Linked DNA regions of Kluyveromyces lactis. The protein of the gene in region 2 interacts with the protein of the main gene of each other region in a biochemical or structural test. Links are inferred from orthologs where the notes say so. Each region holds a gene or a part of one and is shown on either strand. Other genes may lie near its edges.

What was found.
Region 1: of the proteins of MCM3 (region 2) and CDC7, one has a biochemical effect on the other in vitro, tested with the Saccharomyces cerevisiae proteins (2 studies listed by BioGRID). The link is inferred for Kluyveromyces lactis from reciprocal best matches to the Saccharomyces cerevisiae genes MCM3 and CDC7.

The regions. Positions count from the first base shown.
Region 1 is NC_006039.1:396,643-399,848, reverse strand, and holds CDC7 (serine/threonine protein kinase CDC7), read right to left. Parts: upstream 1,951-3,206; coding exon 523-1,950; downstream 1-522. Other genes in the region: trans-2-enoyl-CoA reductase (NADPH) TSC13, read left to right, coding at 1-218; ERP3 (Erp3p), read left to right, coding at 2,151-2,870; DAL1 (allantoinase), read right to left, coding at 2,957-3,206. UniProt on the Saccharomyces cerevisiae protein: Serine/threonine-protein kinase. Needed for the initiation of DNA synthesis during mitosis as well as for synaptonemal complex formation and commitment to recombination during meiosis. Required for HTA1-HTB1 locus transcription repression.
Region 2 is NC_006041.1:1,980,046-1,984,092, reverse strand, and holds MCM3 (MCM DNA helicase complex subunit MCM3), read right to left. Parts: upstream 2,819-4,047; coding exon 23-2,818; downstream 1-22. UniProt on the Saccharomyces cerevisiae protein: Acts as a component of the MCM2-7 complex (MCM complex) which is the putative replicative helicase essential for 'once per cell cycle' DNA replication initiation and elongation in eukaryotic cells.

The DNA.
Region 1 (3,206 bases), on a different chromosome or scaffold from region 2:
AGAGAGTCCCATTGAATTCTGGGTTGTTCAAACTACTTGTCGCTCCAAATTACACTTTTGAATCTTGGGCTTGGATGTTTTTCACTTTGTTGTTCAAGTTGAACTTATTCTCAGTTCTTTTCCTTGTTGTCTCGGTGGTTCAGATGTACTTGTGGGCTCAAAAGAAAAACAAGAAATATGGTACCAAGAGAGCATTCTTGATCCCATTCTTGTTCTGAATTCACCAATTACTATCACCACATACATATTTGACTTGGGGTATTATAGCATTCTCTCTTAAGTGAATAACGCTGTTTTACTCGTTTATTTACGCACTTGTTCTCTAACTTATGCCGTCAAAGCGTTGGCAACGTTTGTAAACTAAATATAATAATGATGATGAATGCAAAGTATTAAATTACTCTATCGGTTAAAGAACTCTATATATGAATGCATGTATATAAAAAATGAGTTCTGCTCTAAGTTATTGCGGTGAATATATGCTAATTTTCGTCAAATATTTTTGTTTCGTTCTGGATTTCATTACTCAACGACCCCGGTGAAGTGATCTTCTCTTCTTTGATCTCTATCAAGTAAATCTTCGTTCAGTTCTTTGAACCATAAATGTTCAAGAAGATCACTGGCGCTGGGTCTTTTGTATGAATTGAGTTCGAAACATTTTGCCAAGAGATCAAAACACCAAAAATGATCGTCCCAAACTGCTTGTTTGTAGCTCCGTATTTTATCATCAATATCCTCTTCATCGTCTGGGCCTAAACTTGGCGTGAGTTGTTTGTCAAATTGTGTCAAATAATCCAACGTCTCGAACGCTATGGAATACTCTGGTAATGTTCCTTCCTCCACTTCTTTGTCAAGTAAAGCTCTCACAAAACCTTGTAGCCCCCCAGGATATCCTTCCGAATGGAAACCTGGAACCTTTGTCATGTCTAGTCCCAACCCATGGAACTTGGCGACTTCTTGCATGGGCTTGATTCCAAAAATGCAACATATCTCCAGAAAGGCGTCAATATCATCCATGCTTTGAAAGATTGGGAACCTTCTGCTGATGAAACTTAACAGTATCACACCAACTGACCAAATGTCAATTTTTTGAGTTTGGAAAGAACATTTCATAAGCACTTCTGGCGCTCTGAACCCTCTCGTACCAGCTCTATTAGCTCTACGCTGCCTCCTAGTTTCATGTTTTGGGTACCCCTTACTCAATTCTGCCTTCATGAGATTCTCACTTTGTGCAGCACTTAATTCATTTGCCCCTCTAACGTTAAGCTGCCCGTTCTGAATGGATATCAACGGCAGATGTGATGTCTTTTTGTTGTTAGCATACGGTGAAGAACAATTACAAACCTTCTCTCCCTGGTCATTAACATACACACGATAGTTGAGGTCAGGCAAGTACAACTCTTCATTCTCTTCAGCCAAACCAAAGTCTACTAACACACCTCTCCCAAGTATTGGGTTGTATAGGAAATTGGTTGGCTTCACGTCTCTGTGAATGATTCCAAATGAGTGCACGTATTTCAAGGCGCTTAAAAGTTCAAACATGTACTTCTTTATCCCCTTGATAGGCATGTCTCGGTAGAAATGCCGGAATTCTTCATGCGGATACCAGGGCAAGACGACAACCACCTGATCCTGGTATCGAATCGCGTCGCATAATGGTGCTACGTTATTCGAATTTGACAGTAACTCTAAGAGTTTAAGTTCATTTTCAATTCTGTTCGGCGAGCTTGTCACGTATATCCTCTTGATAGCCACATGTTTACTATTCTTATCCCAGAAATGATCAGGGTATAACCTTCCAGATACGTTGCTAAGATCTTGAGCTTTATATACCGATGAAAAGGTCCCCTCTCCGATCTTATCCAGTAGCTTGTATCTGGATGACAACTGTGGTACCTTATCGTACAAATCATCCATTTCCTGGATGATTTCAGCGGGAATGTCATCCATAATTATAGTGTGTATATTGCCACCTAATATGAAGCCTAACAGACGAGCTGTATACCCATTGGTTTGACTCTACAAGAACAGATACGCTATATCCGTTGATTCTTTTATTCTATGCATTTTTTGGCGATGTTTTCATTTTTATTGTCGAAACCAAATATAATAACAAACAGCAGTAGTTCACATTGAAATGACATATATTAATGAACAGAAACAGGACGTTAAAAGGGGAATTGTCGAATAAAAGGACATTTACACACAAAGCAACCTTCATGTATAACTTATTAAATATGAAGTTTACATGGTTATGGGTATTTTCGCTTGTGATTGTCTGTCAAAGCTCACCAATAACGGTACAATTACAGAAGAATGGGAAAGAATGTGTTTACATTGATGTTGATGACAGTGACTGCAAAATATCTTATTACTTCGCAGTACAAGAGGGAGAAAACAATGCCTTCAGAGTAAGCTATGAATTATGGTCTCCGGACGATACAGAGTATCCTATGATTTACAAAGATGACGAAGAGCAAGGGCAATGGACATTTCCTGCGAAACATACTGGTGAATATGCGTTATGTGTCATTGGTGATGAATATCCTAAGATTGTTGATTTAGACATTGTACAGATATGTTTCGATCAGATACCGAAGCCAGCAGATCCTCGTTTGATAGGAGAGACGATAGATAGTTCACTGGTGAGGACACTGCAAGATTCTGTAAATATAATAGAGGATCAGCTTCAAGTCTTGGAAAGAAATTTGAAGCTGTACAAATCACGTGCAGAAAGAAACCACCACACTGTTAAATCAATAGCATCGAGGTTGGTCACCATATCAATTTGCTCCATAGTTCTTGTACCGACGATTGCTGTTCTAGAAATTATAATAATGAAGTATATTCTAGGTAAATTTAAATCATAAGTGATATATATATAATATGTATATCATGCATCAAATAAAGGTAATTCAAAATTGAAGAAAAAAAAATGATTAGAAGATGGGGTACTTCATGTTCTTCTGCGTTCAAGAATTGTCTGGCCGGGAGGGTTTTTATTATGTCCCATGCCGTCAAGTTCAAAAGCCAATTTTCCTCTAACATAGGTGTTTCTCACTAAACCTTTCAGTTTGAACCCATCATAGGCTGTCAGTTTGTTTTTGAAATAAACTTTATCGTTGTCGACAGTCTGATAGGTATTGATGTCGAAGATAACAAAATCTGCGTCGTATCCAGTTCTTAGGAAACCCTTCCTGTGATCA
Region 2 (4,047 bases):
TGATATAAAAATGAAATTAAGATTATACTCTCCATACTTTGCCATCCGCGACCATTAAATTGTTTCTATCGCTCATAATCCTTAGACCAGCAACGTATTCATCAACAGTGAATTTTTCCTCTTCTGGAACTTGCTCGTTAATTCTTTCGAAAAGTGCGGCGACAGGATACGATTCTTCCTCGAAAATGTCTGATTGCATGAGTCTTGCAACAATACCTGAGAGTGACGATAACCTACCGGTTGAGATTGAACCCTGGTCCATCTCTTCGATGGACATAAAATCAAGGGTCATATGAGACGGTTCCAATTGAGAGCCAGTTTCAAGGGGTCCAGTTGAGGATTGCGAGGAGTGGTGGAGAACCTGTTGTTGATGGTCGCTTTGTGAAAGTACTCTTCTTTCGACTGATAGTTGGCGTCTCGGACTCACTCTCAAGTTTTGTTCTAGTCTTCTTTGAAGGTCTTCCTCTTGTTCTGGTGCTAACCGTACCATCGTAGATTCCAGACCGTCAGCAGGATCCGGTTGAGTCTCTGCCATTTCCTGGTCCTCTTCTGCATCCTCTGAGTCAACTTCTTTGTAAACGGCCCCTCTCTTCTTCCTTGGAGAAGCTCTTGGCTTCTTTCTTGGAGATTTTTCGGTTGTTCTGCCTTCGGCAAATTCCTGTTCGTCGAAGTTGGCTCCGTCCTCACCTAGTAATGCAAATCTTAGTAATTGTGTTGCTACCTTTGCATCTTCTAGTTCTACTTTCTTTGAAAGCCTTACCTTGGCATGAGCACTGGATAATCTGATTAAAGTTTCTAGAGTTCTTGCCGTGATAGGGGATTTCTTGGTGTTCTGATCGTTTCTTAGATTTGAATATGATTTGATGATAACGTCTACAGCTTCTTGAGTCAATTGAGGAATAATTCTCTCTTTTGCATACTGAATGTATTTTCTGATGAAGGGTATCGCAACAATTTGAGGAAGCTCGCTACCATTGCTATCACCTCTGTTCTTTGCAAGCTTCGCACCGGCGTGTAGAAGTGGATTGAATTTTTCGAAAACTACGTCCTCATCATCATCTTCTTCCTCGTTTTCGATATCTTCACCAACAGCCAATGATAGATTTATTTGCTCTCTAACAGGTTCACCTTCCAAATATCCAGGAGGTAAGTACCTATGTGTTCTCAAGACATGTTCACTGATAGCTCTATCTCTGATGTCGTTGATATCATCCGTAACCACAAATAGTAAATCGAAACGAGATAATAGAGAATCCGGTAGGGCAATATTTTTATGTGGATCTTTGTTAACGTCATATTGACCGAAAACAGGGTTTGCAGCTGCGATAACTGAACAACGAGCATTCAATGTTGTATGTATACCAGCCTTTGCGATTGTTACTGTTTGTTGTTCCATAACTTCATGGATAGCAACTCTATCTACGTCGGACATCTTGTCAAACTCATCGATACAAACGATACCACGATCTGCCAACACCATCGCACCTGCTTCTAATCTTCTTTCACCAGTTTCTTTATCAGTAGTGACGGCTGCTGTCAAACCGACACCAGAGGAACCTCTACCCGTAGTGGCAATAGCTAATGCTGCTGTGTTCAACACAAATCTAAGCATTTGAGATTTAGCGGTGGATGGATCACCAACCATAAGGATATTTATGTCACCTCTTAGATGTGAACCGTTGGGTAAATTTTTTTCCACACCACCCATAAGCATTAATAGGATGGCTTTCTTAATGTGTTCATGGCCATAGATGGATGGTGCTAACGACTGGGACAAAGTGTCGAAAATATTATCATGCATTGATAGCTTATTGATATTTCTAATATCATTATCTGATAGCGTTTCAACGGCGGACACACCTGTAGACCTGGCATGTAGAGGGTACACTGTGTTACCAATTACAACAGTTCTGAAACCAGATAAAGCACCGTTACCCTTGTCGTTGTTATTAGAACCACCTGTTAGACCACCTGCACCTAATGACTTGTATACACCAACAATATTAATTCTATCACCTGGTTTTGTCTTATCCACTAAGTCATCATCCAAGATAACGTCAATGGATCTTGGTAATTGACCAGGAGGGGCCTTTTCGGGCATTTCTTGAACGGTGATTCGCTGGTGATCCATGTAATGACAAAATCCATACTCTGTGACCAGCTTATTACCTTCTTGATCCTCCTCTGGATAAATAGCTGGTGTTGGTACGGATGTGGTTAATGTTGTAGTCGCATCACGATAATCACGGTAATGATGATGGCCTGTGGTTTGGGCATAATGCACGGATCTGAGAAGTTTTGGCCTCACAAGTGAGGTTCTCGTTACAATCCCCTCTACTGAGATCAATTTATTCAAATGTGTTGAGTTTAAGGTACGTGGTGATAAAGAATTCGGACCGAAAGAACCCTTGAATGACAGTCTCCATTGTCTGCTGGGATCATTTTGGAATCCGCGAAACCCGAGAGGGCTATCATCTAAGGCCATTGCAGTCTCCGAAACAGCACGCTCCGCTGGTGGTAAAAAGAACGAGGGTACTTGTAAAAGTCCAGTCCAAAATGTTTTGTCAAATTCTCTTAAATCGTCAAGTGATACTGTTATTCTCAATGGCAATTGATTAGTGTCATGGTCCATCGTATCTTTGTCTGCAGTATTTAAATAATCATCATCCGTCTTTTTCTCTTTCACTACGTTGCTGTTAAACTCGAGTATTGATCTTATTTCTCGAGTATAATGCGAATGGGTATCCAAAAACTCTTGAAACCTTCGCATTCTGTCTGTAAAGACAGCATCACTTGTTTGATTCATAGCATCACTCATGATTGAATTCGGTACTTATGGTGTTTTTCAGTAGCAAAGTCCTTTAAACAGGGAGCGATAAATGCAATAATATTATTAAAATGAAGGTGCTAAAAATTAATGTTTCATTGGCACCAGTGCTGTTCTGGGATAGAAACGTTCTTGATATGGTTCTTCTAGTTTATTTTTGTCAGAATCGAGTTTCAGCTGTATTTTACCAACAGAATACGGCAAAGAGAAATGAGATTTGATGTTTTCGTCAATATCTTTTCCGTTTTTGGAAAAGAAAGAGGAATAATTTTCCGGGTAATGAGAAATGGCAACGCGTCAAAAAATAAAGGAAGAAGGGGTTAAAAATAACGACAACAGCAGGACTCGAACCTGCGCGGGCAGAGCCCAAAAGATTTCTAATCTTTCGCCTTAACCGCTCGGCCATGTTGCCATGTTATATGATAAAATGATGTTAGGTTCATATCACATGATCCAGAAGATGTCACTCATTATATTGTGAATTGGTAAATAATAAATACTATACCGCGCTTCACAGTGCAAGAAGAAACTACAGACCCTTGCCAACGTTCTGAACCTAGTATGGACATTAGATGGTATTAAAGAAAGTAATCTAACGAAATCATATTTGCCTACAATTGAGCTTTTGATATTGAAAGTTATCGACGATGAGCCAAAATTTGAAAAAATAAAACAAGGATGGTTTCCCAACCGTTTAGTAACTGGCAGTCTGCAAGTGCGGAAGAGTACACACACCCCATATTAACAGGGTTCAATGACAATGTAAAACGACAAACGGAAGCGTTAAAGAAGATTTAAATATATAAGAAATAGAATTAAGGATATAATGATATTTAATTGAGTGAAAAAAAAAATTACTGGAATAGAGAGAAAAAAGCTGATTTAAAAGGAGAAAGTGATAAAGAATAACGTATCTGATAGTATTTCCATCAATGACGCTTGACAAGGAAAGGAGCGATTGAGTGTTTTCCAGAAAAGAAAAAACAGTTTCTTGTTCTCCAACCAACAATTATAACTCAAAATCCATCCCATTGCTGAAAACCCACGTAAAACACCCAGAATATCATATAAGTTAATATATATAATTGGATGCTTAACAGTAGACGAAAAAAAATGGGGAATTAGATAGCGTACTAAAGAACACCGGGAGTAGCAACCAAAACCGTTCCAGGAAGGAAAACGACTTTTGTGGAAACACAGAAAGATGGACAAGTGAAAAC